2 linked regions of the Coturnix japonica genome follow. The protein of the gene in region 1 purifies or fractionates together with the protein of each later gene. This does not show direct contact. Links are inferred from orthologs where the notes say so. Each region holds a gene or a part of one and is shown in the gene's direction. Other genes may lie near its edges.

Region 1 (3,745 bases):
CGGCTTCCACCCGCCCGTCCCCGGCGCCGCTCGGTGCCGCCCCGCACGTCCCCCGGCTTAGCGCAACGGCTGCCCGCGATTTCACCGCCGGACACGCGCAGCACGGCGCACGCCAACACCCTCGGACACGCGTGGAGCGGGCGCCGCCTGCACCCACCGGCGGTCGCTGTCGCTTTCGGGCGGTCGTGGCGGCGGTGCCCGCGGAGCCGTGCCCGTTCTGCACCGGCGGCGGAGGCGCCTTCGGTGGCAGAAGGGCGTCCCCGGGGGAGGGCGCGGGGCGGGGCGGGGAAGGGGGGGAGAGAGGGAATGGGGGGTGTGCGGGGTGTGCGGGCACCAGGATTCAGGGGTGCGGGGTATCAGGTGTGGGGTGTGAGGGAACTATGGGGCGTGGAGACAAGGATGCGAGGGCATGAGAACATCTGGGGCGTATGGGGAAATGGAGATGGGGAACGAGGGAGCACGGGGAGAAGGATCTGTGGGGTTACGGGGATCCGGGGACACGGGGATTTGGGAATACGAGGCACGGGGACGTAGCGACGGGTAAATCGGAGGATACGGAGATAAGGGAAGATACGGGAAAAGGGGGATCTGAGAGTGGGGGACGTGGTGACAGAGCAACGTCGGGGTGGGGACGGGTAGATCGGAGGAGCCGGGGCACGGAGACACGGGATGTGAGCACACCGCGACGTGGGGCCGCACGGATCGGGGGACACGGGGAGGCGGGACACGAGCAGCGGGACACGCAGCCGGCAGCGGAGCGGGGACAGTTGCCGGGGTCGTTCGGGGACAGCGGCGCAGCTGACACCGCGGGGCTGAAATGTCACCGGTGTCACCGCGGGCAACGGGCCAGGCTGTGCCGGCACCGCGCGGCTCGTACTGCACGTGGGGGCGGCACGGCGGCACGAGGGGCACAAGTGAGGCGGGTGGAGCCGGTGGCAGCACCGTGTCTCTCGGCACACGTCCCCGCGGGGCTCCCCACGCGCCGCGAGGCTGACAACGGCAACAGCCGCCGGGCAACCGGCCGGCACGGGGAACGACACGGCGCCGCCTCGTGGGAGCGCGCAGCCCCCACGCGCCTCCGCGGCCTCCCATCCGCCATGGGGCGCTCTCGCCACCCGCCGCTCGCCCCGGCCGCTCTCTATGGCCGCGGGGCCGGGACCGGGGCGGGCCAGGGCGGGGGGGGGAAGCAGCGTCCGGCGGCCATGGCGGATACCGAGAAGCTCAACCTCGACTCCATCATCGGCCGCCTCCTGGAGGGTGAGCGATGGGCCTAGTGCTCCCGGACCGCCTCGGGAGCCGCTAGGGGAGGGAAGGACCGGCGCTGTGCCGCCAAGGAGGGGCTGGAGAACGGGGCTGCGGGCCGGGGCCTGCGGGGAAACGGGGGCCGTGCGAGGCTCTGGGGGTCCAACTGTGGGGCTGTGGGGCAGCGGGGGGTATCGGGGCAGCGGGGGGCCGGGGGGAGCCGGGCGGTGGGAGCCGCTGGGGGCTGTGGGAATGAGGGGGGCTGCGGGCGATCGGGGCGGATGGGGGGTGGCTGCAGAGGGCCGGGGGCACCGGGAGGGCCGTGCGTTAGTGCGGGACTGTTAGGGCACGGCGGCTCTGCGGGCTCCGGGGGTGGAGTGGGCTCTGCTGAAAGCCACCCCCGCACAGTGCAAGGCTCACGGCCTGGGAAGAACGTGCAGCTGACAGAGAACGAGATCCGGGGGCTGTGCCTGAAGTCACGGGAGATATTCCTGAGCCAGCCCATCCTGCTGGAGCTCGAGGCTCCGCTCAAGATCTGCGGTGAGCGACGAGCCGGGGGGAGGGGAAGGGGGCGGGCTGGGAGCCAGCGTCACCGCGTGTCCCCCGCGATCTTCTTACAGGCGACATCCATGGACAATACTATGACTTGCTTCGGCTCTTTGAATATGGAGGCTTTCCACCAGAGAGCAACTACCTATTCCTTGGTGACTATGTTGACAGAGGAAAGCAGTCTTTAGAAACAATTTGTCTTCTATTGGCCTACAAAATTAAATACCCGGAGAACTTTTTCCTGCTGCGTGGCAACCACGAATGTGCCAGCATCAACCGCATCTACGGCTTCTATGATGAGTGTGAGTGCTGCACCGGCCCCACTACTGACAAACGGGACTGCCTTGTCACCTCACTGCCAACCCCATATGATACAGCCAGCCCAAAGTCCCCCCTTCCATCCCCATTTGCAGCTCTTCCCATCTCCTGCAGACCTTATGTTCATCCCAGCTACTTTCTCCTGCAGACCTTATGCCCCCATCCCAGCCATCTCCTCCTGCAGACCTTATGCCCCATCCCAGCTACCTCCTCCTGCAGACCTCATACCCCCATCCCAGCCACCTCCACGGCCACCCCCCCAGCCCCCTGGAGGGTTCAGTGCTGCCCTGTGTGTGTTGTGATACACCAGAGGGTGGGGAGGGTGGAACATGGCCCACATGAAGGGCTCCTGTGAGCACCCACCCCGCTGCCTCACAGGCAAGCGGCGATACAACATCAAGCTGTGGAAAACCTTCACCGATTGTTTTAACTGTTTACCAATTGCAGCAATTGTGGATGAGAAGATATTCTGCTGTCACGGAGGTGGGCACAGGGCTGGGGGCTGCCGCCTGGGTCCAAAGGCCGCCACACAGCATAACCTGACACTCCTGTGCAGGGCTGTCTCCTGACTTGCAGTCGATGGAACAGATCCGGCGCATCATGCGACCCACGGACGTACCCGACCAGGGCCTGCTGTGTGATCTCCTGTGGTCTGACCCTGACAAAGATGTCTTAGGATGGGGTGAAAATGACAGAGGAGTGTCCTTCACCTTTGGGGCCGAGGTGGTGGCCAAGTTCCTGCACAAGCATGACCTCGATCTCATCTGCAGGGCACACCAGGTAATGGGGTCGGGCCTCACCTGGGCTCCATAACGGTGGAGCTTTTCCCAGGAGGGGCCATTTGCTCTTGAGGATGTGGTTGGGCTCTTTTGAAGGGGATGCTGCCCCCTGGGGGAGTTGGTGGGCTCTATGGACAGAGAACAGGGAGATATGAGTGCTGCTGCCCCACAGGTGGTGGAGGACGGCTACGAGTTCTTTGCCAAACGCCAGCTTGTCACCCTCTTCTCTGCACCCAACTACTGCGGGGAGTTTGACAACGCAGGAGCCATGATGAGTGTGGACGAGACCCTCATGTGCTCCTTCCAAGTGAGCTGGGGCTTTGCCGGGGAGGGGGCAGCACACAGGGCTCTGCCTGCAGCCCCTTCACTCACCCTTCACTTCCTTGCAGATTCTGAAACCAGCAGACAAGAACAAGGGCAAGTACGGGCAGTTCAGTGGGCTGAACCCTGCTGGCCGCCCCGTCACCCCACCACGCAACTCTGCCAAAGCCAAGAAGTGAGTGTCCACCGCCAGCAGCCCCAGCACCAGGTCGCTCCTTTCTCCATTCGTTTTTTTATTTGTCAGATCCTGCCCTTGCCGCTTTCTACTGTACCAAATGTACCCTCTGGGGCAGGACCCGCCCCTCAGTTGGCAGTGAAGGCAGGGCAGGAGGCTTTTTTTGGGGAATAAACTTGTAATGGGTCTTAAGATGTGGCTTTAGGATCACACCCTACGTGGCCAGGCAGTGCCAGCTGCTGCGCCATGGCATCGCAATGGGGGCTCTCAGCATTCGGCATCGCTGTCCTCTGCCAGCACCTCCTGGCTGGGGGCTGGGCCAGGCCCCCCCGGTGTCAGCACGGAGCCAAAAAACAACGAG
Region 2 (3,743 bases), on another chromosome or scaffold:
TCCACCTGGAAGCCGAGTATGAAGGCTTTGACAAAGTCAGCTGCTTTGGTCAGAGCACTGAGGTCTTTGGTCTCAGCACAGGTCTGCAGAACGAGAAGATACGTTTCTATGTTATCAGGCAAACGGAATCAGGACTTGGAAAGTCAGTGAGATAAAGGCTGGCTGTATAAAAGAAAGCCAAAGCCACGTTCGTGTAATGCCACCTCCGCATTGTGTTCTACTGAAAGCGCAGACCAGTAGTGTATGTTGTGCTTAAGACAACAGGCTGCCCAGAGAGCTGTGGGTGCCTTGGAGGTGCCCAAGGCCCGGTTGGGCGGGTTTCAATGAAACACGAGGGATGAGAGGAACGTGAGGACACACAGCACAGCGCTCACCTTGATCTCCACGTTCCTGGTCTTTAAGTTAAACCTGATCTGGAGCTGCAGGTGCTCCACGATGGGCGTGAATATCTTCATCCAGTTCTCCTTCAGCGGCGTGTACCTGTTGGCCGGTACCGGCACCTTCCTCACCTCCCCTTTCCCCACCTGCGGACAGATGGGCGCTGAGCGGACACGTGCAGCCCGTCCGCCCCATCCCTCCGCCTCGGCGCCGCGCTCACCCCCATGGCCGCGGCGGGCAGCGGTGGGAAGGCGGGTCTCTTGCTGGGCTGCGGCCCCGCCGCATCCACCGCCTCCATCGGCTCCGCAGCCGCCGCTCTCCGCTTCCTCCTGCCGCGCTTGGAAGCCACGCTGGTGAAGCCGCTCCCGTTCTCATCCGCTTCAGACTCCATAGCGTGGCCCTCCGCCGGAAAAGCCACCGCCACTTCCTGCCCGTCCCGCCGTCCCTTCCGCTTCCTGCGTTATCCGCGTCGCTGCCGTCGCTCGTTATGTCGGCGGCGGGGCTGGACCGGCCGCAGGTGGTGGTTCACGTGCAGCAGCCGCTGACTTACACCGTGTTCGACTGCAAGTGGGTGCCGCGCAGCGCCCGCCTGCTGTGCCTCGGCAGCGCCCCGCGAGGCACCGGCCTCATCCAGCTGTACGAGCTGCGAGCCGGGCGGCTGCTGCTGCTGAGCGAGGTGAGCGGGGCGATGCGGGGCGGCACCTCGTAGGCCGAGGGGTTTAACGCTTCATACGGTGCCGACCGTGTCCTTTATCTGCAGATCGAAAAGGCCAAACCGATAAAATGTGCCACCTTCGGGGCAGCCTCCCTGCAGCAACGGCACCTGGCGACAGGGGACTTCGCGGGATGCCTCAGCATCTGGTGGGTGTGTGATTCCTTACAGCGCTCCTGGCTACTGAAGGCAACGCTGTGTTATCTGTTTCTCACATAGGAACTTAGAAGCTCCTGAAGTCCCCGTGTACTCCGTGAAAGGTCACAAGGAAATCATTAACTGCATCGATGGGGTCGGAGGCCTCGGAATTGGGGAAGGTGCCCCAGAAATTGTGACAGGCAGCCGGGATGGTGAGTGGGAGAGAGCTGAGCTGCTCAGTGACATCCCTGAACTACAGGCTGTGGGCACCGAAATGGAGGGCGGCCCTTTGGGATGAGCCTCCTCTGCTTCCTTTGGGAGCTGGAGAGGAGGAACATAAAGCAGAACAAATACAAAATAGCAGCTAGACATCTTATACTTTCCCTGTGCTTTTCTGTTTGTATTATGTTTCATTTCTTCCTATACACTGACATAGTCTGGAGGCGTCAGGCTGCCTTTCCCTGGGAAACCAAGAGTGGTGCATCAGTGCATCTGTAACACTGATGGCTTTGCTTTCCTTAGGAACTGTGAAGGTGTGGGACCCTCGGCAGAAGGAAACTCCTGTTGCCAACATGGAACCTGCGCAGGGAGAGAGCAAGAGGGACTGCTGGACGGTGGCCTTTGGTAACCAGTCTGATAACAGCCCCCTGTAATGTCACTGCGTGTTGACAGTAATCAAACCACTGAAGGCAGGGTTTGTTGTTCGGTGTTATCACATCTGTGTCTTTGCACTGTGTTTTAAAGGCTGTCTTTCCATCACGTTTGGTGGTAGTTGGCTCAGGCATTGTTTTCTTACCATCTCTGCTCAATCACTTCACAGACAAGCTTTATTCTTAGGCATTTTTACAGCCCTAGTGTGGGAATTGAACATTTCTATGTCTAGGAATGTAAAAGCAAAGAAACCACTTTGCCCTGGAGGGGTCTAACTGTGATTGTGCATGGAGAACCAATATCTGCTGATGACATTAAGACATTAATGTAAGAGACAATCCCCAGAGCTAACGAAAGACAGCAGAGATGCTTAACTTGTGCTCTTGAATTCAGGATGCTTGAGCCCAGGCCATGTCCATCCCAAACTCTGTGCTCTCAATTCATTAAATCCTACTATATGATGCTTTGCTGGCATAAATCTAAGTTGAAATTGCTGACTTAAGAGGTCTCAAATTTACAGCCTAAGAGGGGTTTCTGTGTTGTGATCAATTCTGTCTCTGTGTCCAGGCAATGCTTACAATCAAGAGGAACGTGTAGTATGTGCTGGATACGACAATGGGGACATTAAGTTGTTTGACTTAAAAGCCATGTCACTGCGATGGGAGACCAACATTAAGAACGGGGTAAGGTGCTGTGGAAGCAGGGCTTCATTCCAGCTGTGGTGTGTGTCTGTTTACAGGCAATCGCGTTATTGCCGAGTTGGTGAAGCTGTTGTAAGAATAACCAATGATTAGATACGTGTCTGCAAATCACACTCACAAATATATGCTTGTAGCAGTGGCTGAACGTATTGGTTTCACTCTTTGCAGGTTTGCAGTGTGGAGTTTGACAGGAAAGATGTGAACATGAACAAGCTGGTGGCCACGTCACTGGAGGGAAAATTCCATGTCTTCGATATGAGGACTCAGCACCCAACTAAAGGTTTTGCTTCTGTTTCAGAGAAGGTAATGGGGAGATGGATCATTCCTTTAGCAACATGTAGTACAGGAGTTTGTACAGAACTTTTGTCCAATGCTGGTTGTTTCCTAGGCACACAAATCCACCATCTGGCAGGTTCGGCACCTCCCGCAGAACAGGGATGTGTTTATGACGAGCGGAGGAGCTGGGAGCCTTCATCTCTGGAAATAGTAAGTGATCACTGTCTGCTCTATAACAGGGGAATAAGGAACCAAAACAACTGTTTATTGTTTAAAGAAAGAATCATTGTAAAGATGGTGCGTGGGGACTCACTTCCAAGCTCAGATATGATGGATATGATGGCTCGCTATTTTGAAGACATTTGTCTTATCTTGAGAACAGAGGAGACCTTTCTGTGCTGTCTTTTAAGAGCAGGATGAGATTCCTGTTTGTCTCAGTTTTCCTTTCCTTTCTGCCAGCGAGTACCCGGCTCAGCGCTCAAAGAAGGACTCGGAAGGAGCTGAGATGGGGGTGGCAGGTTCTGTCAGCCTCTTGCAGAACGTGACTCTGTCAACACAGCCCATTTCCAGCCTGGACTGGAGCCCCGACAAAAAGGGGCTGTGTGTTTGTGGTGCCTTTGACCAAACTGTGAGGGTACTGATAGTTACTAAGCTTAACAAAGTGTGACAGGAAAACTGGGATTGCTGATGAGAAAGCAATACAGTTTGACGTCTGTACATACGGGAGGGAGGGACCTATTGTCTTTAATCTAATTTCTCCCTTTTTAGAACTGGATTAAGGAAATAGAGACCAGATCTTTCTATTGAAAGTTGAGATACATGCACTTAAGAGTTGTTTGATGGTGCTGCAATGACTTGAAAAAGTTTCCAAGGCATAAAAGTTTTAC

The links. Proteins that work in one complex are often made in the same cells at the same time.
Region 2: the proteins of PPP1CA (region 1) and WDR92 purify together in Homo sapiens (affinity purification with mass spectrometry; 6 studies listed by BioGRID and IntAct, counting the BioPlex papers as one, with this or other methods). This does not show direct contact. The link is inferred for Coturnix japonica from reciprocal best matches to the Homo sapiens genes PPP1CA and DNAAF10.

The regions. Positions count from the first base shown.
Region 1 is NC_029520.1:170,046-173,790, reverse strand, and holds PPP1CA (serine/threonine-protein phosphatase PP1-alpha catalytic subunit), read left to right. Parts: upstream 1-947; 5' UTR 948-1,097; coding exon 1,098-1,257; intron 1,258-1,650; coding exon 1,651-1,782; intron 1,783-1,862; coding exon 1,863-2,093; intron 2,094-2,487; coding exon 2,488-2,592; intron 2,593-2,665; coding exon 2,666-2,889; intron 2,890-3,060; coding exon 3,061-3,195; intron 3,196-3,277; coding exon 3,278-3,388; 3' UTR 3,389-3,576; downstream 3,577-3,745. Other genes in the region: cell cycle checkpoint control protein RAD9A, read right to left, coding at 3,652-3,745. UniProt on the Homo sapiens protein: Protein phosphatase that associates with over 200 regulatory proteins to form highly specific holoenzymes which dephosphorylate hundreds of biological targets.
Region 2 is NC_029518.1:373,574-377,316, forward strand, and holds the start of WDR92 (WD repeat-containing protein 92), read left to right. Parts: upstream 1-835; 5' UTR 836-865; coding exon 866-1,054; intron 1,055-1,138; coding exon 1,139-1,239; intron 1,240-1,309; coding exon 1,310-1,440; intron 1,441-1,750; coding exon 1,751-1,852; intron 1,853-2,446; coding exon 2,447-2,562; intron 2,563-2,748; coding exon 2,749-2,883; intron 2,884-2,968; coding exon 2,969-3,066; intron 3,067-3,315; coding exon 3,316-3,523; 3' UTR 3,524-3,743. Other genes in the region: RNA-binding protein PNO1, read right to left, coding at 1-83, 375-524, 599-769. UniProt on the Homo sapiens protein: Key assembly factor specifically required for the stability of axonemal dynein heavy chains in cytoplasm.